Danio rerio: one gene and its partners. The protein of the gene in region 6 interacts with the protein of the main gene of each other region in a biochemical or structural test. Links are inferred from orthologs where the notes say so. Each region holds a gene or a part of one and is shown on either strand. Other genes may lie near its edges.

Region 1 (4,066 bases), about 19 Mb from region 6:
TAATTATTCATTAATCGTAATAGAGTAAAAATATTCAATTAAGCAAGATTTTTATTAAAGGCCAAATCGGCCAGCCCTATTATTAATGTAAAATTGGTTTTATATTTGCACATTTGCTCACATGCTCCTTTACCATACTTCTAAAATCACACATATCATCAAAACAACACTCTTTAGGCTATTTAACTATGAACAATGTTGTACTTTGATAGTCAATGGCTGCTAATATGATTTTACCATTTAGAGTTTGCAAAGATTAGGCTGCTTCTCTGAATTTATAGTATATTACAAAGGAGAAAATCTGAATGCGCAAATAGAAAAATCAACTTTACCTCAATGACTGTATGGGCATTTTAATAGCATTAGTGCATAAGAAATTGTATGTTTGTAACATTAATAACGCTTAATTTAATTTAATTCTCTACAGGGCTCAACAATAAGGACTGCCTAATGGCCCGGGCCAGCATTAGAGAAGCTCATGACAGTTGACAGAATCGTTACTGGCCCGATCAGTGCTGCCTTGCCATTAAAGTTTAATTCGCCTGCGACTATTTGTCAATTGCATGCAAATTTAAAATATAAAAATAATGTCTTAGAATGGATAAACAGTGCTTTTAAGACTATCTTCTCTGTGATATCGTAAACACAATATTGCTTTTCGGTTCCCCTTATCTGATTGGATGTTATGAGCATGTTATTTTTTTTCTTAACCAGGTAACACCCATTATAGCAAAGAGACGGAAACATTGCAGCAACATCAAATGATGAGGTTAAAAGAAAACGTCCGTTTCCAACATCTTGGAAGCAGACATTTACACAAGTACAACATGACCAATGAAGTAATGTTTTGCACAGTTTGCCGTCAGTTTGTCAAGTCAGCCACCTTTTGTTAAATAATTTAGAACTGCAATAAAATACCAGCACATTTTCCATAGTGCTCTTTTTGTTTGCATAACGCTTACAATTTTTCTCATTATACAATTATTAACATGTTTTACGTTTAATTTCTAGATTCATTAGATGACACATTTAAAATATGTAGCTAAGAAATAGGCAACTAATGGGTAAGTTAAGGTAACTTAAACTATTTGAGAAAACCGACAAACCATTTAAGTTCAAAAACTAATCTAAATGAGTACTGTGAACTTAATTTGAGTAAATGAAGCAATTTGAGCACAGTAAAACCCAATAAATGAAGAGAACTCAAACCAGCTGAGTACTGCAAAACCCAATAAGTTAAGGCAACTCAAACCGCTTGAGGAAACCGATTGCTACAAACCATTTGAGTTAAAAACTAATGTATACGAGTACTGTAAACTTACTCCATTTAAGTTGAAGTAATGAGGTATTTAATTAACTCATCACCTTCAACAATGAGTTCAAAACTCTTTTCAAATGAGTAGAATTAATCGATTTCGAGTTACCTACACTCATTTCATTTGATAAAACTGACTGGTGGGTTTTTGCAGTGTACTAACTTTTTTTTTGGAGGGGCCAGTGAAAATTTTGGCAGGGCAAGTAAATAATTGAACCACTGGCTCGGTTGGGCCAGTAGAAAAAAATCATTAGCGTTGAACCCTGCTCTATACAATGAACACAATGCAGTATTATTCTAAATTTGATTATTCAAATGATGTACCTGACTACTGTTTTATTCCTCAAAACACCATAAAATACAGTTGATTTCATTTGTATCTTTAACTCAGGGTCTATGCATCCCCAGAAAATCAAGTGATTCTGTTCACACACTGACATCAAAAGATCTAGACTACATTAGGTTTGTTTATGAACTAACTAGGCATTATTAGTAGTAATAACCGATGTGTGATCAACATGGCGCCGCCCATGAGGAGACGAACCGATCGGATCTATGAAGATACAGGCTTCCAGTATTAATGAATCCCTTAATGTGTACAACTTTAATTACTTAAAAATAAATAAATGATAAAAATACACATATCCCAGCAGGTTTCCTCACACCATCCTGTCAGAAGCGTTACATAACGGAACAATAATCTACCGCATCAACTGAAGAGATGGATTAGGAGAAATGAGAGCTGCCTTAATTCAGTCTGTGTCTTTAGCTCACTGACAAGAGCCCAGCCCGGACAAGGATGACACTGCAGGGTTAGTCCACTAATCACCCGTGGATTTACACATTAACCGGAGATTTACCAGGATAAAGTGGAACCATTATGACAGACCACAAACTGTTGGATTCATAACGCACAGCCCGAAATGTAACCCACTATGATATATTGCACTAAAATAACACGGTTAAATGTACTGACGTGTCATATTTTGTAGGTTGTTTCTGCAGTGTTTGGCTGGGAGGTAACTTAATATTATGGTTCCTTGTTTTAAAATGTTGACCGAGCTCAACTGACAGACGCTTTTACTTAACGATAGGATGGATAGCATGTCGTTAAGTGATAGGAATGAGCAAATTGAAGTGTGGAGTGGCATGGTTGCTGGAGATGAGGTATTATCCATAGACTCACCTTGAAACGGCCATGTGTGAGCTGTTCGGGGGTCCGGGTTTGTGTCCGGCCGAGGGTTCGGGTTCAGGTTCGGCTGCTGCTGACCGACGCGTGCGCGGACAGGCCCGAAATCTCGCGCACTGCCTCAAAATCCGCCTGCTCGCTTATTAAATATTTCCCACAGCGCCCGAAGACGCTTGAGTAACTCCACGCCAGCGTACAGATTGATTCAGCCCTCCGCACTTCCCCGAAAACGGTATTTTAATCGAACAAACGGGGAGAAATAATTTTGTAGATCACAAAAGAGAAGCCAGGCGGCTGGTTTTATATGAGGAGCCATCTTGCATTTATTCCTTCCTCCATGGTAGGCGCGCTGTGATTGGTTACATGGGCTCCGGCCGGCCAATCGCAAGGCACTTTGCAAAAGGAAGTACACTGTAGGAGAAAAAAACATGGTCCGGAAACACGGGTTTTATTCATCTTCTTTTCAGTAAAAATATATATAAATATTCATATATGCTGAATATAAAACTGTTTTTGTCGCTGTTCCACATTCGCATTCGACCAATTTAATAATAAAACTTGCATCAATGTCATCCTCTATAAATAGCAGTCGAAAATCCTAAAAGACAAGTATCAACTTCAAGATGCTTGATTAAGAAGTGCACTTAAAATTATATATCACGTTCATCCTGCAAAATAATTTCTAAGGTTTAAAGTCAATATTGGTGACCAAATATTTACATATTGAAACAATCAGGGGTGGGTTTAGTGATTTGGGGCCCGAAGCAGTTCCAGCCATGGGGCCCAACAGTCCTAAAACAAAACCATTTGTACTGTATGAGCATTTTAATAGCATTCATGCATAAGAAATAACGATTAATTTAATTTAATCATCTTTACAATAAACACAATGCAGCATTATATTAAATTTGATTATTCAAATGATGTACCTGAAAACTGTTTCACTCCTCAGAACATCATAAAATACAGTTCATTTCATTTTTATCTTTAGCTTTGGGTGTTATCATAGTAGGCCAGCCTGGTGAAATGGTGGTCCTTTTTTTCTCAAAAAGTGGACCTTTTTGCAGTTATACGCCTCAGTTTCTATTTAACTATGAGATTTAAATTCTGCATTTTAGTGATTTTTTGTTTTGCTGGATTAGCTAGTCAGATCTCATCATAACCACACTTTTTGATGTACTAAAATATTTCCTAAAAAATTGCATAAAAAATTTAAACAAGACTCATTTTTAAAATACAAATTTATTACATCATTTATCATTAGGAAAAAATTGCAATCTGTTAAAGTTTTAAAGTAAAAAAACTGTAGCCTACTGTCATTTATTATGCAAAAAAAAAAAAAACAAAAAAAAAAACTGGTCAGCACATTCAACTGTCCTCGGTCACAATTTGGCCATTTCATTAAAAAAGAATTAAAACATAATAATAATAATAATAATAATAATAATAATAATAATAATAATAATAATAAATTATTAATAGTAATAATTATTATTATTATTATTATTAATAATAATAATAATAATAACAATGAATTCTTCAGAATTTATCTGTTCTCTTTG
Region 2 (4,031 bases), on a different chromosome or scaffold from region 6:
TGAATGAGAGAGAGTGTGATGCTGTCTGTGTGTGTGTGTTTATACTTATCTATTATATGTGTTGTTAAACGGGGTGGGTCGGGCTGCAGGACAACAAATGCTGAATATAAGTGGGAGCGGTGGGGTTCTGACTAAAACCTGGTGGAAGCAGGATACAAAATTTAGTCCCATGCAGATCTCTAACACAGACATCCACACACTAATAAACATTATGAAAACTAAAGTTTGTTGTAAAGTTGGAAGTTCAGTTCCCTTATTTGGTACCCCAGACCACCTCCTTCAGGTGGACTTGGGTACGGTTTGTTGTGCCCACTTGAATTTAGAAGACAACGTTCACACTAGCTAAACGTACCATACTCTGATGTCAAACAAAACCGGGTGCAGACCAAAAGTGCTAGTGTGAAAGCACCCTTAGTGTATTGCACCGGGTGTATGATAGGGCCTTATAAAGGTATTTTTTTTAAATACATCATTAATAAACTCAAAAAAGAAACAACAGATGTGGTTTGATTGCTCTTGTTTAATCTTTAAACCTAAAAAAAGAAGAGCTCAAAAGTCCATTTTTAAAGCACTAGCAAAAAGTAAAACGTAATGTTGGAAAGGAAATATTTACAGTCTGTTCACATTTGTGCCAACTCAGAACAGTTCTAAAGTTGTGTATGTGTATGTCTGCATATCTTTATGGTTGACAATAAGACGTTATCAGAACAGATATACAAACATCACAGATATCAGTCTCATCACTCTGAGCTTTTTACAGCTGTGTGTGTCACTTCTTTGAGGGAACTCCATCGAAGTAGTCCTCCAGCACTCCATTCAGATGGTCATTGTGAGTCTTATAGCGTCTCTTTCTCTGGGTTCCAGGTTTCTTCCTCTTCTGAATTGGTGTCTGTGACAGCCAATCACAAATCACATCAACCTCACACAAACATGCACGTAATAGCCAGTCTGAAGAGTGTGTTTGATTTTCTGTGTGTAAATGTTGATTTCTATGTGTTTGAGAGACAAATCGTACCATTTTCTTTGGTCCAGTCTCCTGCATTGATGAGATGCCCTGTTTCTTCAGGTACTCTTCGATCTTCTCCTCATCTATGGAATCAACAGGAACACTCCGCCACAGCTTCTGAAACTCTGGAAAATAAAAAGACACTGATATCCCAACAGAACATCGCAGGAACTCTTCTTTCAACAAACAGTAATGGACAAAAATGAACCAGCTTTGAATTGTGATGAGAGTCACATACCTTCATCCACGACAAACTGACAGTGCTTGTCATTGTAGAATAGAATCTTCTTCTTATCTGGTCTAGTCACAAATATAATCTGATCCCCGAGCGCCTGAACAAAACCAATTAAAACAAATTAGAGTATTTCATGCTATTAAAGCCTTGTGTTTCCATCTCAAACATTTATGATATATAAAAATATCTAAAATGTCAATTGATTAGCATTTCTACTAATGTGGCTGCAATCAGATCCTAATTTAATATGTGCAGGAATTATTCTTGATGAAAAGGTTTTTTTAGTATATAAACATGTTACACTGAATGACATTTATGAGAGTTTCTAAAAAAAATGAACAAATTAAAATAAATAACTGTATTTTTTGCAATCAAAGCCTTGTTATTTTCATTTTAAACAAGGTGTATATACATCACAATTAATTAAATTCACAATTAATAAGCTTTTTAGAGCTGCAATGTGATCCTAATTTAATGTCATGAAATCATTCTTTTTGAAATGATTATATAAACTACTGTCAAAGTGAATGACATTTATGTTGTTTTCTAATGCTGAAAAAAAAAGAAAATTACCTGAACAAATAAATAAAAGGGTATGGATCAGGTTTCCACATGGTATTATTGTGTCTTTTAGTGGTCCGTGACTACAAGTGGTCACTTAAGATGGCAATATTTTTTCAATAATTACAATACAGTTTAGCTGTATTATTTATATTTCTAATAATTATAGCCAAAGCAAAAAAAAGGCTACTTCACACCATTCTTGTTGACAGAACCAACTTTTGTGTATATACATAAATAAATATATACTACAATACATGCATGATCCTGGACTACAAAACCACTCTAACATGATCCAAATTCAAGTCTTAGTTTTGCAAATTACTAATCATTTACAGTAGGGTACTTTTACATTTACAGTAGACAAAATGTCTTCATGAAACATGATCTTAATATTTCAAAGACTTTTGGTATCAAAAAAATCTATAGTTTTCCTGGGCTCAGAGCCCTTTTTTGTGTACTTGGTAATTTAAAGAGCCTCTACTACACATTAAAAAGGGTCAAATTTACATTAAATGTTCCTGGGTTTGCGCATGCAATAATTGGGCGGGGCATAAGTCTCGTATCGACTCTTTTATAAATGCATCAATTGTTTTAAACACGGAGCACTTTCAGATTTAAGCCATAACTGGATATTTCACTTCACTTAGAGCTGTGTTACACACTACATGGAAGGTCATTGTCAAAAACCCATAATAGGGGCTCTTTAAAGAGGACCTAATGCGCAAAAATCACTTTTATAAGGAGTTAAACAAAATTGTGTGGAAACAAGGTGGGAATATAGCCAGATTTCAACTGTACAAAATCATTAATTAATTTCATTTTAATCACACTTCATAAAAGCAGTCTGCAGAAACACTGTCTGACATTCTTCCTTTGTACATCAGAGGGGGAAAGCCCCGCCCATTAGTGACAATCTCTCCATTATTAGCATAAACAGTTTTAAGTGAGATGCAGTCACTAATGATGGAATGGTGATGGTTGTCTGTAGCTCTGCACTCTTTTGAAAGGAGGGCTGGGAGTACATACTCATTTGATTTTAAAGAGACAGTCACCATAAAAGCACTGTTTGGATCAAAGGCTAAAAGGAGCAGTTTCAAAGAACTAAAAAAATTATTCATGGGTTATAAGATGCCAAAACTTTGCATATACACTCTAGGGACATCAGAGACTTCTTTTATATCTTGTAAAAAGGGGCATATCAGGTCCCCTTTAAATGTACGGTTTAGTAAATGTTTTTTTTTGTTTTGTTACTAATGAGTGACAGCATGATGGTGTATTACTTTAATAGCCTTGGCTGCATTGGGTAGCCCCTCTTCAACATCATCCAGTAACACTCCTCCGAGACCAAGCTGATCGTGTTTGTCCAGAAGTCTAAGCAGAGCTTTCTTATCCTTCAGATGATACTTGGGTTTAAAGGCATATTTCCCTTCCCGCACATCAATCTTAGGATTACTTGCTAATGCCTGGAGGGAAGGAGAGAGGGAAAGGTTACATGCTGAATTCTTGTTCGAATGTCGATCTTGCCCTTGAAAACATATATTGCGTGTCATTACATTGCTTGTTGGAACATTGGTCAATAAAAGTATTCTGCAGCATATAAATCCAAGTATTATATAATTATAATAATATTCTGGAATAAAAAAACATAAACATAAAAATAATAATTTAAAACCACAGGAACATAGCTATCCCATACTCTTTGTGGCCTTATAAATATATTTTAAAAGAAAAAAAAATTTACATACATTTTCAATTTTACATACAGCAATATCTGTAAAGTCAGATGTTTTTACAGACAGCTGTATGTTTGCTAGTGGTGTGCGTTATGAACACAGAAAAATATAAATATTAATTTTTTAGGGATTTTTTTGTATTTTGAACAATAATAATTTAAAATATTTTGTTGAGTTTGTTGTTATGCTGTTAAGGCCTATCATAGATAAAATAATAAACAGGGTTCCCACACTTTCATTAACTGCAGATTCAAAGACTTTCAATGACTTTTTAAAGCACCCTTATTTTGATAAAGAACACTTGTAATTCATACCCCAGTATTTGTAGTGCCATGAAAGTCCTAGGGTCTGTTCTTTGTACCTCGCTTAAATGATCTAAGATGATTTGGCAGATCCTGGATCTTTTAATCTTGATAACTGATCTCTGGCTAATTTGGTTCTTCAAACAAGTTCGCAAATCAGATTAAAATGTCTGGATGAACTGATCTGAGAT
Region 3 (4,236 bases), on a different chromosome or scaffold from region 6:
ATTCATTCATTCATTTTGTTTTCAGCTTAGTGGCTTTATTAATCTGGGGTTGCCACAATGGAATGAACCGCCAGCGCATGCTCTTCCAGCCGCAACCCATCACTGTAAAACATCCATACACACTCAATCACACACATAAAATACGGACAATTTAGCTTACCCAATTCACCTGTACTAGAGGTTTATGGACTTGTGGGGTAAACCGGAGTGACCGGAGGAAACCCATGCCAACACGAGGAGAACATGCAAACTCCACACAGAAATGCTAACTGACCCAGCCGAGGCTCAAACCAGCAACCTTCTTGTTGTGAGGCGATTGTGCTACCCACTGCGCCACCGTGCTGCCCTTTGCTTTAATACTTTATATTTTAATACAATCTCTACACTATAAATTATTTGTTTTCTTAAAATAAATTCACAATTTAAAACAATAAATCAACTATTTAATTTTTAAAACTAAATTTTTTGTTACCTGAATAAACTGCTCTGATTAGGGGCGGGGGACAATTTTGCATGCAATAATGACGTTAAAATTTGTTAGACCTTCACCAACATATGATAGTAAACTATGTTACATAATTTGTAGGTATAATTTATGCTTCCATACATTTATCGGGGGCTCCCAGATTCTCTGGGGGATTAAGTGACTGTTTACCTTATTTATTGGTTAAATCCCGCCCCTGCCTTTGGCCCCTAGACACCTCACACTCCAGTTCACATATTGTCATCATATATTATATAATTTAGTATTTTTATTATGCAGTACCACTACTAAACTACGCCAGAGAACCATAATACGGGATACTTTTGACAGTTTTTAAGTGGCGAAAATACATTTCAATGACATGATTCCTAAAGTTAATGGCACTGAGCCTATCCTGTTACAACCAACATAAACTGAATTTAAACACTGGCAGACTCACGGCAGCATCTTTTCCTTGTTCTCTTTTTCTGTTTACTGGCATCACTCTCTGGACACACGTGTAGTCTTCACTGTGAACAACAAGGAAGCAGCACAGCGGAAGCGGCTTCCTTTCGTCTATGACAAAAGCTTTTACAATTAAACCTTACAAGTCTAAGCAAAATACGTTCATTCAAACATATAAACATGTGTACTTTACATGCCGAGTGTCGGTACTTGTACCGTAGGATTGTTCCAAAGACAATTAAAGGGATTTTTATTGTACACAGCATCACATTACTTTTAACAAGTAGTTGTTATTTACTTTTTTAGTTTGATATAAAAATAAGATTTTATAAATACTGACTAAATGTATTATTTTAAAATGGTTAATGCACAACATATTTTGGTAAAGCGTTTTGAATTGTATATAGACTTTTCAGCAACATCCTGGACGTCATTTCCGCTAAACGTTAGCGTGATGCTGAACTAGGAAACTTGCTCTGATCTAAACAGGAGGAAAATTAAAGGTTTGAACTGTATTTTATCTCATTCAGTTTTCATGTTGTTTATTTTGCTAAACGTGTGAATGTAACGTTAACAGCATTTCTCAAAATACCGAATCATCGCGTTAATCTTACATTAAACTCTCCAGATACATGAAACTGGTGAGTAGTCATCTGTACTCTCACATTGCTTTGTATTATTTTCGTTGAGCGTATTTATTTCATACTTTTTGCGTGTAACTGAAGTACAAATTTAAGACAACATAAACTTATCTTCGTTTCTAAAGTAATTAACCCTTAGACATCGTTCTTAAATGAGCTCCTTTTATTTACGTGTTTAAACTCCATGTTAACCTGAATGACTGCTGTTAACACGGTAAAAAAAATTCTGATTGATATGTTTTCCATAATGGTTTCTGCATGGTGCATCTTAGACCTTTAACTAATCTTTCTGACATTTCTAACCTTACAAAGATTTCAGTGACAAATTGAACATTGCTGTTTTGACTTCAGCTGATATTCCTTTAAATGGCACCTATTTTACCCCTTAATCAAGATTTAAGATAAGTCTTTTGTGTCTCCAGAATGGGTCTGTAAAGTTTCAGCTCAAAACACCTCTCAGATTATTTATTATACCTTTAGAAGTTTGGAATTTTCTGCTTTGAACACAATGTAGCTGTTTTTGTGGCCTGCGCCCTTAATGCCAATTCACCCTGCCCACCGTTCCCTCGTGCCTGTCGGAGTGTGCCTCAATCTCTGCCTCGGCTGCGACAGATAAACAGCACAGTGACAAAAAGATCTCCCGTAAAGTTTGTGAGAAATACTTCAGTAAGAAATCTCCCAATGATTATTTGATGTATTTGTTGTGGAGTTAATTCAAGCCTTTCTATGATGAGTCGCACACAATGTTGTTAGAAAGTTTACACAGACACACACACACACAGGGATGGGACGATAAACAGTTGTGAATAGTAAAAGTTTTAAAACCGTAATGTTTTCAGTTATACAGTTTCTAAGGTATGTGTATGTTTTTTTGTTTTTTTTTCACGATTACTTTAGTTAGTTTTTTTAGGGCAACAGAATCTCCAGCAAAAAAGGAACCTCTACACTAAAAGCTACTGGTCTAATATATATATATATATATATATATATATATATATATATATATATATATATATATATATATAAAATAAATCTATTGTGTTCAATAGGGGCAAAAGTTGTTGTGTCCCAGACATTTAAAAATAATTTATTTTGGAGGAATAATTACAATATCGTGAAACAGTGATATTTTTTCCAAGGTTATAAAATCAGAATCTTATTCCGGCCCATGCCTACACACACAGTGCGCGCATTTAACTTTGCACTGTTTTTGCACGTAAATGTGACAGGAGGATACACATTAATATCCCCTGCTTTATGGACATCCATTATGTTAATGTACAAAATAAACCTGATTTAACATCCACAAACGGATTGAAAGGTCTTCTTTTTTTAATTGTACTGACCTGGGGCTGTGGTTATAAAGACGGTAAAATCGCTTGCGTGTAGTCTTCTTGTTGATATCTTGTTGATATGATTTTACTCGTTACTGCGATGACATGTTAATATGAGGCTGTCAATCAGTTCAGTGGGCAGGAAAACTGCGCTCCTACATCACAGTGCAGTGGGTCTTAAAATGGGATGGATTTGGATGCTATTTCAACATCAGGAAATAGAAAAAGAGACCTATTGTCTTTATATCACTCCAATATGACTGTGGACACACTTTACTTACAGTTGTGTCCAAACAGCTCACAAAAGATGATTTTTATGATAGGTGCCCTTTAAGGTAAAATTATCTAGTTATTTAAAAAAAAAGATTGTAGAAATACTATTGAAAATGACCTAGGGCTGGGTGATATGGCAAAAATGCAATCTTAATAATTATTTTCCATATTGAATGATAACGATATATATATTTCAATAGAAGTTGCTAATGCTTTCAAATTTAAAAGAGAGGTTTACCCCCAACAATGACTGAAGCCACAAAAATTAAAAGCTTTATTAAACCATTAACAGGCCTAACATATGCCAAAGCAATGGCAAAATATCTCTAATAACCACACACTTTTACATTCCCATTGTTTACATTTCTGCTGTGTGATTGGCTCTTAGATCAATTAAAGTAAAAACGTCCAGAGCTCATCATTGTTATTGACAAATTTTATTGCGATTTGATATGATATTGTTTATCAGCCCAGCCCTAGAATGACTCTTGAAAGCATCAGTTATTAACAAACAACCGAATTATGATGTTGTTTATTAAATGAGGGATTTAAGGCGCTATATTACAGTTTGACAGTTAAAAGTATTCCTATATATATATATATATATATATATATATATATATATATATATATATATATACACACACACACAAAATGATTTTATAAGTTAAGTTAAATAAGTTTCATTGTTGTTTTCATTGTCATATTTTTGATGTAGGTGAGTGCTGTAAAGGTGTCAGAAAGTTTAACCTGGTCCCATAAAATCAATGTGCTGTGTTTTTAATATAAAATAAACACCCCAGGGGTTGCAAAAATAAATCAATCCATCAATCAAATCAAAAGGTTGATGGCTTTTTATTTTCATGTTGGTTTTGTAAATGTAAGTATTAACTACTAATCTTTTCTTCTGTATGTCATGGATAAAATATGGTAAGCAGGTGATTTTTCAGAAATTTTCTGTTTTTTTACTTTTCACAGACCTTCCTCCAAGAAACCTAAAGTTCAACTCTTCACTGTCTTGCATAAAAGACAAACTGACCCTTTATGACAGCACATTCTT
Region 4 (3,500 bases), on a different chromosome or scaffold from region 6:
TCACACAGTCAGCACAATATATTTGACCCTCTACAGTTTGAAAATTGAGTGTTATAGTGCAGCTGACTTGTGTTGAAGGTATTCGTAAAGATCGCGGCGGGCGTTCTGTCAGGCGTGAGAGAAGAAGAAGCAGTAATGAAGATCGAGACAAGAGCACCAGTGATCAGTGCAGCCGTGCTGGCGTGAGGACGACTGGCCCACAGGACAAGAGGAAGAAGCGCAGTGGTGGGGTGGTCAGCACTTTATGCATGTCGCCTGACCAGGTGCTGCTGCTGCTGCTGGGGGCTGAGCCACCCGCTGTCTGCTCACGACAGAAACACAGCCGGCCCTACACCGAGATCACCATGATGTCCCTGCTCACCAACATGGCTGACAAAGAACTCGTCCACATGATCGCCTGGGCCAAGAAAGTGCCAGGTAAAGTCCTTTCAGAGATCAATTAAAGTTAAAGGGATAGTTCACCCAAAACTGGAAATTTACTCACTATTTATTCATCCAAGGGTGTTTCCAGTTTCATTCTTCAGTTGAAGACAAAAAAGATATTTTAACCATCAACTTCCATAGTAGGAAAAAACATTCACTATGGCATTCAATGGTTGGAGGTTTAAAACATTTTTCAAAATATCTTCTTTTGTGTTCAACAGATGAAATAAACTCATAAAGGTTTGAAACAAGTAAAGAGTGAGTAAATGATGACGGAATTATCATTTTTAGGTGAACCATCCTTTTAATTGTAAGAACAGCATCAAAGGAAGGGTCTTTCAATATAAAATAATTCACGATTTTGCTTGTTTTTGTGCTGCTGTTTAAGCATAAACAAAAACCTTCAAAAGAAAGACAGAGCGACATTTTATTGGACAGAATTCGATTTTTAAGGCCAACAACAAATGGATGGTAGTGACTACAGCTATCTTTTTGCTAGGTTTGTGACATCACCAACCGTAAAATTTACATTACGCCCCCCCTAGACATCATCTTTCCTTTAATGTGCACTTAATGCTTAATGTGACGAATTAGAACACGCTGTGTCAATTGACCAATCAGAGCACATTATATATTTCTGATGGGGGGACAGGCCAAAAGATCAGTTTTAGGAGAACCGAAACAGCAGAATAAGAGTCAAATATATTAAATATTATCTTTGTTTGATTGTTTGTTTATTTTAATTGGAACAGTTTACCCAGTAAACATTGTCAACTCTTCAGGGATAGACGATTGATCAGCCCTTTAACTGCAACCACATCAAGTAACAGTCTTTTCAATCTGACGAAGGCACATCTAGGAAAGTGTCCTGGTGACAGCCTTGCCAGTTTATGTAACCCTGGCAGCAGGTTTGACAGCACAGGTGGCAGAGATTCAAATGACAAGGTCACAGACGCAAAGATAAAGAACATGACTGTTATTACAGTGATCTGTGCTGCAGCCTCCAGCTGAGCTCTGAACACAGATAAAGAGCTGCTGAGACTTTAAGGGAGTCATTATATTTCATGTTCAGTAGTCCTCATTACCCCTTTAACACACCTCAGAATAGTAAACAATTTGTCTCATCAGATTCAGTGGATGAAGTCCAATTCCATATTTTAGAATTATTTTCTGGTAGGTAAATATTTCTATTACTATTATTAGCACTATATATAAAATATAATACTGTTTTCTCGACACTAAACTGATTAGTTGTGTTTTCTTTGTATTTATGGATTACATTGATTATTGACATCTGGGGGAAAAAGTAAAGTCAACAGCACACTTAGAAACATGTTTTCTGAGGGAAATGCTGACATGTTTAATACTCTTTTATCCACTGTATATCTGTATAGATATTTTCAACTTCTTTTTGTTTCTAAAAATAATTTTGAATTCATTGGAGCACTGTAAAGCTTCTATATATTGTTGTGAGAAAACATGTCAAGATTCTCTGATAAATAAAAATAATTCTCTGAGGACAAAATATTTGTAAGATTAAAAAAAAATTGGATGCATTGTAAAAGAAAGTCTGACTAACCCTAGAGTTGTGAACATTCCTGTCTCACCAGGATTCCAGGATCTGTCTCTGCATGACCAGGTTCAGTTGTTGGAGAGCTCTTGGCTGGAGGTGTTGATGATTGGCCTCATATGGAGGTCCATTCATTCCCCTGGAAAACTCATCTTTGCTCAAGATCTCATCCTGGATAGGTACTGGATAATCCGAACCTCTACATGTAGGCCACTGTTAACATAGTAACAACAACAAAAGCAGTCAATGTAGAATATGTATTCCCACATTTCTGAAAACATAATTACCTAGTCCAGGAGTGTCAAACTCAATTCCTGGAGGGCTGCAGCCCTGCACAGTTCAGTTCCACCCCTGCTTCAACACACTTAAGCCACGGTCACACTGGACTTTTCTCCCCATAGACTTCCATTCATACACACATGAAGCGATCAGACCAAAAACACAAGCTCCTTCGCAGTTCACTTCGTTGAAAAATTCAAGCTTAGTGAACTCTGACCTGCGAAATTGCATCATGTGATTGCGTAAGACCAATCAAAAACCAAAACATGACCTCTCTAGACAGAAATTTAAAACATTGACCAATTGCTCGCGTTTTAATGTCTAACCATCTTGTTTAATACCGTCCCTTTTTGCAGCGATGCACGACAGAATTTCGCACACACAAACTAAGGTGACCGCTTGGAGGTTTCAAACAAGCCTAAAGAACTTAATTAGATTGATCAGGTGTGTTTAATTAGGGTTCGAACTAAACTGTGCAACCCTCCAGGAACTTAGACTATAGTAAAAATAAAACACAAATCCAATATAATGACACACTTCCAATCTCAGCATCATTTTTATTTATCTTTTTATAAATAAGTGTGAAAACAAAGGCTTTGAAAACACATTAAGTTGTTTTGATTAAACTGAGCGGTTTGACTGTTAAAAATAATAGAAAGGCACAAACATGTGACAACTGAAACCTGAGGGACGCCAATTATACTTCAACGAAACCCTGAGCTTTATTTTATTATCAGGCAGTCTTACTTCATACTGATGCTGTCAGTCTGATTGTGAGATTTTGAGATGTCATATTGACCCGATGCATTCCCTCTTATTTTTTGCCCCAATTTATTAAAGAACATTAAGTTGCATGCGGTTTTCTCCCCCGCAGAAGGCTGCGCATTACAAAACGAGATTGAAATATTGTGAAGCGAAAACTAGATTGTTAAAAAGGATGTGAACTGTTTACCCAAGAGCCTAGTGCTCCTCTTCAGAAGACCATGTCACAAAGTAGCATGTAATTAAAAAGGACCCAATTGGGAACAGGATCTTTAAAGGGTTTCCGAAAAACATCGCCATGATCACTGACTAAGGGAATATGAATTTAATCAAAACCAGCATCCGTATAAAGTAGCACTGTGAGCTTCAATGTTGAACAGAGCATCCCAGAGGATGAAGGAGAAAGATAAAACTGTTTGGTGAGAGAGACTGCTAAGAAAGAACAGATAGGATATAGAAGTCTTAT
Region 5 (3,500 bases), on a different chromosome or scaffold from region 6:
TGGATGTCTCATATATGAAATTACCACTCATGTGACTTTGTTAAATCAAATATAATTGTTTTAAAAACATCAACGACATTTGAGCATTTCTAAAGTACTCTAAAATACTTACTTAATGCTTACACAAAAAAATGTAGAAACAGTTTCAGTGTTTTGGTAAAAATTGCTCCAATTAATAATTGAGCTGATCATGAATAATCATAAAAGAACAGCAAATTGTCAAAATAGAGTGATTGATTTCTAATGTTTCATGTGACACTGGAGTAATGATGCTGGAAATTCAGTTTTGCATCACAGACAGGAATAAAGTGCATTTATAAATAACATTTAAATGTTTTTGTTTTTAATATCTCACAATAGTTGTTACATAATATATATAACACAACATTGTTATAATTTGATACAACCTTCATGGAAGTATTCACATTGTTTATAAATATGCATGTACTTGCTAATGGATATTTAGGAGTCAGAAATGTCAGAAATATGAACAAATCTATCATATTCTGATATACGGTATTTAGGGTTTCTGCAGGGCCTTAAAATGCCTCTCAAAATCCAAATTTTAGGCCTTAACAGTCTTGAATTTAGTGAAATATTTTGTTGTAGGTCTTAAATCTTTTAAACGGGTCTTAATTTTCCTTTGTTCATGTATACCTACCCAGTCTGGCCAAAACCCATACAATCACCAACAATCCATCTCAATAAAACTATAAACTTTGTATATAAAAAGGTCATTTTTAACTCTATCTTAACGATTTAAATATTTTCCTTACAATAACATTTGTTTAAAGGTTCTTCATCTATTTACTGCCGAGGACACCGACAGATTGTTGTCCATAGATTTAGTGTATTTTTTAATTTAAAGAAGGTTTATGTTGGGGAAAAATACAAGAGATTGTTTGTTTTTACACAATATTTAAAATATTTAGCTTAGAAAAAAAATAATACATTTGAATAGTTCATTATTGTGTTATTAAATGTACTGAATTATAGTTTTTTTTTTTTTTGAGAGGTCAAATAAAAAAACTTTTCCATCTGGGCCATTTAAAAATTTCCTTAGACTTTAGTGCTTTGAGTCTTAAAAAGTCTTACATTTAACTCTGTGAAACCAGCAGAAACCCTGAGTACTAAAAAGATGAAATCATACTATCAAGATCCATTCATAATATATTGTAGTTGTGTTAAAAGAAGTGATTGCATTATATCTTTCATTTTAGCCTAAACTGTATAGATCAGTGATGGAGGATGTCATTGCTGAAGTCCGAGAGCTGTTTCTGGACGAGGGAGTGGATGAACAAGTCCTGATGGAGCTCAAAACGGTAAAATGATTTAACTTTAGATGACGTTATCCTGCCTCTCAGAGAGATGTTTGATTTTCATATGGGTCTCTGAGCAGTTGTGGGAGAGTAAGCTGATGCAGTCCAAGGCGGTGGATGGTTTTCACACAGAGGAGCAGCAGGTTCTGCATGCTCAACAGCAGCAGGCTCAGGCTCAGCAGACACAGCAACAAACCCAACCGCAGCAAGTCCTCCTGCCTCCTGCACAGACCAGTGAGGCAGAAACACGACTTCAATAACAATGATCTTGATGGTGACGAATGAGTTATTAATGCAGATTTTACTCTATTCTCAGCTCCTCAGCAGCAGGTCATTGTTCAGGATGCTAAGATTATGCAGCACATGAGTGCGACGGGGATGGTAAGTCACGTTTTAATGCTTAGCTTGTTTATTGTTTGTGTTTTTTTTTACATTGAAGTCCTCCAGAGGTGGATTTTTAATCTGGAATCTGTTTTTAAAAGGGTAATGAATTGAGAATGGGCCCTTTTTCACATTTCCAGGTTTCTCAGTAGTGGAAATGCTCATAGTTTGGTGAACTCAGAGCGCAGTGAATGGAGAGTACAATATACCATTTTATTACAATACTGTTTGCTGAAATAACAAAAGAAAACCGCTGCGATAGTGTTAAGACCTTCAGAAAAAGGAAAAAAATAGTTTGAGACTGATAACAACAGCCAGAAGAGAGTACAACCCCGCCCCCATACACGCCTCGCACAGTTGGTAATTAGGGCTGTACGATTTAATAGAAATCATATCAAAATGGTGATTTGGACAAACATAATTTATTCCAATTAAATCCAATAACGCAGCCCGCCTCTTAAACTATTTCTCTAAGAGTTCAGAGTTCATATTCAAGTGCTTCAATGAGGAAAAAGGAGCTTCAGTTGGAAAAAGCTACCTCACTGTTCAATGAAGCATTGTTTGAGCAACTCCATATAATCTCACTAGCAGCCACAATTACTCACTATTCAGAAATCTGCAACTTTCATTAAAAAAATGGATTTGGCCCTTTAGTATCAGCTTTAATGGCAGCAGGAGAGCAGATGCGGAGGAGGGACGAGCCTTCCTGGAAAACTCGAACTGGAGACTACAAATTAGATTACTCTGCAGATTCCAGCAAGGATATTGTTCTCTCTCTCTCCACACCTCTCTCTCTTTCTCTGATCATTAATGTATGTGTGTGTCCTCAATGGATTCAATTCTGGTTTCAATCTCTGGTTTCTCTAGAGTGCAGCGGCCACGGCAGCAACTCTGGCTTTACCCACAGGTGTAGCACCATTTCAGCAACTCATCACCCCTCAGGGTAAAACATTTACACATTTACCAGAAAAAAAATAAAAAATTACCTTCATCTTACTTTAATTAAACCACATCGCCTAGCCCTTTTAACAGAACATTACAGGATGGCACAAGTTTCATTCCATATGTTTCATAATATAGAATGCTGTCTTCATATAGAATGCTGTCTATAGCTTTTGGTGCCAATCAGTACTGAAATTTAAAAAACAAATTTAGCTTATTGTAGTTTTTAAAGAGCTTATAAGTAGTGTTAAAAACATACGTGTGTATAAAACTTGGGTTGTTTGCTTGTTTAAGACAATATGCAAAATATGTGACTAAGAAAAAATTAATACATTTTTTTTGATGGGTAAAAATCTTTTGCAATAGACCAGCTGATCCATAAGTCTAAAATATCACCCATAATGGTCATATAAAGAATTAAAAGTCTTTTGGTGAAACCTGTTAAAACTCTGAGTTTGAATGTTAGCGGGAAATTGACGTCTTAATTTCACTACCAGTTGCTACTGAAATTCCAGTATCATGATAATATATGATTTAAGCTCAGCAATTACACTGGTAGTGCAATGTGTAAGTAACATGCCTGACTAAGGTTTTAGTCATGTTTGTTTCTTCAACTTGATGTTTAGGTCAAAGATATAGATGCTGAAGCCACAAAAAAAATATGAAAAGATGATTATTCTGCTTTTAACTACAATTCCAGCTTTCAAGCAAACATGACGAAAAATGGCTAACCATTTACTAACCCTTTACATATTCTAATCCAGTTTGAGTTATTTTTTTCTGTTGAACACACACAATTATATATAGAATGTTGGAAACCTGTAATCACTGACTTCCATAGTATTTTTGTTTTCCATA
Region 6 (3,969 bases):
GTCTACAAGCTGTATATGGCCTAATAAGCTCGCTGACATAGGCGGGGGCAGAATTGTGCAAAGCTTTATAAGTGAAAAGAAGAATTTTAAAAGCAACCCTGTATTTTATAGGTAGCCAGTGCAATGAGGCGAGGACAGGGGAGATATGATCTCTTTTCTTAGTTCCTGTTATTAATCTGGCGGCTGCATTTTGGACCAACTGTAGCCGAAAGAGTGTTGACTGAGGTAGGCCAATGTACAAAGAGTTGAAGTAGTCTAACCGAGAGGAGATTAAAGCATGGGTTACGATTTCTAAATCTTTTTTAGAAAGAAAGGGTTTAACTTTTGCCACCAATCTAAGCTGGAACAAACTGCTCTTCACAACCGCATTTACATGTTTGTCAAACTGCAAGAGTGGATCAAAGATAACTCTGAGATTCTTGACGTGATTGTGCAGATTGTCGTTTAGGGCTCCTAGCTAAGTTTTAATTGAATTGTTGGTAGCAGCAGGACCTAAAATTAACACTTCTGTTTTATTCTTGTTTAGTTGCAGAGAGTTATTTGTCATCCAGGTCTTAATGTCGGTAAGGCATAGGAAAATATTTTCTAATGATAAATCTTTTCCTAGTTTGATTGGAAAGTATAGTTGGAGATCATCAGCATAGCAGTGATAGCTTATGTTATGTTTGAGGAGTATTGAGCTTAAAGGAAGCATATAAAGAGAAAATAAAAGAGGGCCAAGAATAGATCCTTGTGGAACACCACAATGAATAGGTTTAGGTGGTGAAGTAAAGGATCCAATATTTACAGAAAAAGATCTCCCCTTTAGATATGAGGAGAACCACTGCAAGGCAAGGCCCTGAACCCCAACAACACACTCAAGTCGTTTCAATAATATGTTGTGATCTACGGTATAAAAAGCAGCGCTTAGGTCTAAAAGTATTAAAATCGCAGATGATCCAGAATCCATGAAGAGTAAAATGTCATTTGTGACTTTTAGTAGTGCAGACTCAGTGCTGTGTTTTGCTCTAAAACCAGATTGTAAAGGGTCTAGAATATTAAAAATGTCCAGGTTAATTGTGAAACTACAATTTTCTCTAAAACCTTTGAGAAAAATGAGAGCTTAGATATGGGCCTGTAGTGGGCAGGCACAGCGGGATCAAGATTAGGCCTCTTTAATAGAGGCTTTACAACAGCATGTTTAAAGACATCTGGAAAAACCCTGTTTATTAAGGAGCTGTTTATTAAAGCTAAGAGTGAGGGGCAGATTGTATCTAAAACCTCTTGAAAAAGACGGCAAGGCAGTACATCTGAAGGACAAAAGGTGAGTTTCATCTGAAAAATTTTATTAAGTAGCTGAGAAGAAGATACAGGCTGAAAATTTGTGAAACTGTTGGATGGAGGGACCGAATCAGAATGATCTATGTCGGTGGGAAAGAGGTGTGATTTAATATCTTGTAAAAAAGTCAGAGAACTTTATGCACGTCTCCAGATTGACAACAGGAACAGAGCACATAGTTGGATTAAGAACTGAATTAATAGTTTTAAGGACTATTTTTTAATAGTTTTAAGGACTTTTGGCTTACTTGCACTTTTAGTAATCAAATTTGAAAAATATTTAGATTTAGCCTCACTGACCGAGTCTTTATACGAAATTTATAATTTATGGAAAAAAACACCTCACTGGCAGATTATTTAGCTTGTTTTAGGGAAAATCACTTAATATTTCTACTAACAGTGAAAACAAAACAATTTTTTTACTTTACTAATTTTTTTTTATATTTGGACTGGAAACAAGACAGTGTAAGAAAAGCATTTTTTTCTACTGTGGTTATTCAGTTTCTGCACCTGAATACTGATAGACTCATTCATCTTGTGAAATGGTATTCGTATTGCTTTATTTAGCATAGAAAAACAAAGTATCGCAATATCCGACTTTTCCATTATAGTGCAACCCAACCAACTTTTACAAATCTCTACTGAAATGTAAAAAAAATGGCTACTGGAGTTTGTTCCTGTATCTTTTTATGTTTCCACAGAATTCTTCAGAATATCTTGTTTTCTGTTCACCCACAGCAAGACGTTTATAAATGTTTATAAGCACTTGAGTATAGGTAAATGAAGAAATGTCATTTTTGGGAAAATCCCGTTAACTAAACAATCCATTCCTCACCTGTGGAGATGCCAGACCTTGAGCGAAAGGAGGTAGGCTGTTGTTCTGCTCCATGCTGACGGGTTATGAAGCAAAACAACAGAGCAGTGGTTCAGGGCTTCCCTATAAAACTTCAGTGGCTCCAAAAGACGTAAACTAAAATGAACGAAAAAAAGATACAAATTAACAAATATTAAAAATCCGATTACACACAACAGTGCAGACACGATTATAAAAATCCCAAGTGCACCTAAATAAACAGACATGCACAAGAGAAAATTTAATGCAATATCTGAACGTTAAATTAAAAGAACACAGTAACGTTATTCTGGATTTATAAAGAAAGTATAATACGTAAATTGACCAACAGTACGAGGACCTACAGAAACACTAAATAATAGAATTCCCATTCAAGAGAACAGAGTTGACAATGTTAAAGAGGTGATAGTGAGCAGAACAGGAATGCAGCACAGCGTGTTTAGCGAGGCTAATTTTGGAGCTAACTTTAATATGTTCGTTAAAAACCCAAGCAGTTAACACTTGTAATACAGTTCTCCGTCTAGAAACAGTGTTAGATCAAAGGACAGCCAAACAAACCGATAATTCGCAGGATCCACCGGTTGGCTACGAGCTGAATAGTTCCAGAAGCGCAGGGAGCGCGCAAAACATGAGACTTCACAACAACTTCCGCCGTCTTTAATATGCGCTTCCGGTGCACTATTAGCTCGCATGTTCAAATCAAATTTGTGATATTTTACATATAATCCTGTATGCTTGTCAGTTATATGCTTCAATACAAAAAATATATATTTTATATACCATTTTGATGGATGTAAACAAGAACAATGATCCCGATGTATTTCCTGTTTTACATTTTTAATTTCTATAGTTTCAGAGAATGCAAAACTGGTGAATACATATTGCTAAATAAGGTTATGACAGCTGTTTTAATGTTAATTTATGATTGAATTGCCTAACATTACAGTTATGAAATAGTATGATAACAAGCAGGAAAATGTTCATACTTGGGCCAATGACATGACCACATTGAAATAGTCGTTTTATTGTGCAAAAAGGGTAAACGTTAAAAATGTACCTATTGTTTTCTTTATATTTTTTTTACAATAAATAAATCTAAAATCTTTAACGTATTATTGCAATATACATTATTGTGCATTAATTCAAATCACTGCATTATTGCTTAATTATGTATGAAATTGAATCAAAATACAAATTTTATTGAAAGTCAGGCCATGTCAAAAAGTCAGTTTATGTCACTTTAAAAATGACACATTGTGTACATTATGCATAGTATGGCCCTTTAAACTGTCTTTGTAACGCATAGACTTTTATTTTGAAATTGTGCTTTAATAACCCCCGGACGTAAAACTGTGTTTTAAAGTCTTACAAACGATGGAAACGAACTTTTCCTGTACATAAATAGATGTATTTCAATACATTTGTGTCAAATGGCAGCTGTGGGAACATGGTCTTTCTCTCGCCCTGCAGTGGACAGAATGAGAAGTTTGCTGCTAGCTGGACAAAACGCTACAGATGTTGTAGAAACTGCAATGGCAGGTAAATCTGACACCTGTTTGCGCTATCATCAGCCAACTGCATGGACTTTTATTATTTAAAGTCGGCTGGAACCTCTTGTGAACGATGGATTAAAATACTATTCTTATTACTGATTCAGTTGTTAGATAAATCTTTCTCCTTATCTATCTTATTTGCATAACGTTATTAAAAAATTTAGCAGACTTTATATAATATGTATTTTAATGATGCCATGTATAAGTAATAGGCAACTTAGTTTTTAACAACAACAACGAGTATTA

The links.
Region 1: the proteins of tbp (region 6) and btaf1 form a complex in vitro, tested with the Homo sapiens proteins (2 studies listed by BioGRID). The link is inferred for Danio rerio from reciprocal best matches to the Homo sapiens genes TBP and BTAF1.
Region 2: the proteins of tbp (region 6) and gtf2e2 form a complex in vitro, tested with the Homo sapiens proteins (2 studies listed by BioGRID). The link is inferred for Danio rerio from reciprocal best matches to the Homo sapiens genes TBP and GTF2E2.
Region 3: the proteins of tbp (region 6) and gtf2e1 form a complex in vitro, tested with the Homo sapiens proteins (3 studies listed by BioGRID). The link is inferred for Danio rerio from reciprocal best matches to the Homo sapiens genes TBP and GTF2E1.
Region 4: the proteins of tbp (region 6) and esr1 form a complex in vitro, tested with the Homo sapiens proteins (2 studies listed by BioGRID). The link is inferred for Danio rerio from reciprocal best matches to the Homo sapiens genes TBP and ESR1.
Region 5: the proteins of tbp (region 6) and gtf2a1 form a complex in vitro, tested with the Homo sapiens proteins (7 studies listed by BioGRID and IntAct, with this or other methods). The link is inferred for Danio rerio from reciprocal best matches to the Homo sapiens genes TBP and GTF2A1.

The regions. Positions count from the first base shown.
Region 1 is NC_133188.1:46,115,295-46,119,360, forward strand, and holds the start of btaf1 (TATA-binding protein-associated factor 172), read right to left. Parts: upstream 2,801-4,066; 5' UTR 2,516-2,800; coding exon 2,502-2,515; intron 1-2,501. UniProt on the Homo sapiens protein: Regulates transcription in association with TATA binding protein (TBP). Removes TBP from the TATA box in an ATP-dependent manner.
Region 2 is NC_133176.1:24,451,986-24,456,016, reverse strand, and holds the end of gtf2e2 (transcription initiation factor IIE subunit beta), read right to left. Parts: intron 3,269-4,031; coding exon 3,086-3,268; intron 1,339-3,085; coding exon 1,245-1,338; intron 1,132-1,244; coding exon 1,016-1,131; intron 890-1,015; coding exon 770-889; 3' UTR 501-769; downstream 1-500. UniProt on the Homo sapiens protein: Recruits TFIIH to the initiation complex and stimulates the RNA polymerase II C-terminal domain kinase and DNA-dependent ATPase activities of TFIIH. Both TFIIH and TFIIE are required for promoter clearance by RNA polymerase.
Region 3 is NC_133184.1:29,390,238-29,394,473, reverse strand, and holds the start of gtf2e1 (general transcription factor IIE subunit 1), read left to right. Parts: upstream 1-1,436; 5' UTR 1,437-1,569; intron 1,570-4,154; 5' UTR 4,155-4,236.
Region 4 is NC_133195.1:29,079,946-29,083,445, reverse strand, and holds part of esr1 (estrogen receptor), read left to right. Parts: intron 1-78; coding exon 79-417; intron 418-2,033; coding exon 2,034-2,172; intron 2,173-3,500.
Region 5 is NC_133195.1:17,669,755-17,673,254, reverse strand, and holds part of gtf2a1 (transcription initiation factor IIA subunit 1), read left to right. Parts: intron 1-1,220; coding exon 1,221-1,322; intron 1,323-1,399; coding exon 1,400-1,553; intron 1,554-1,635; coding exon 1,636-1,700; intron 1,701-2,567; coding exon 2,568-2,643; intron 2,644-3,500. UniProt on the Homo sapiens protein: TFIIA is a component of the transcription machinery of RNA polymerase II and plays an important role in transcriptional activation. TFIIA in a complex with TBP mediates transcriptional activity.
Region 6 is NC_133188.1:27,610,667-27,614,635, forward strand, and holds the start of tbp (TATA-box-binding protein), read right to left. Parts: upstream 2,801-3,969; 5' UTR 2,729-2,800; intron 2,288-2,728; 5' UTR 2,207-2,287; coding exon 2,153-2,206; intron 1,304-2,152; exon of another isoform or gene 1,219-1,303; intron 1-1,218. Other genes in the region: zgc:153169 (uncharacterized protein), read left to right, coding at 3,649-3,709. UniProt on the Homo sapiens protein: The TFIID basal transcription factor complex plays a major role in the initiation of RNA polymerase II (Pol II)-dependent transcription.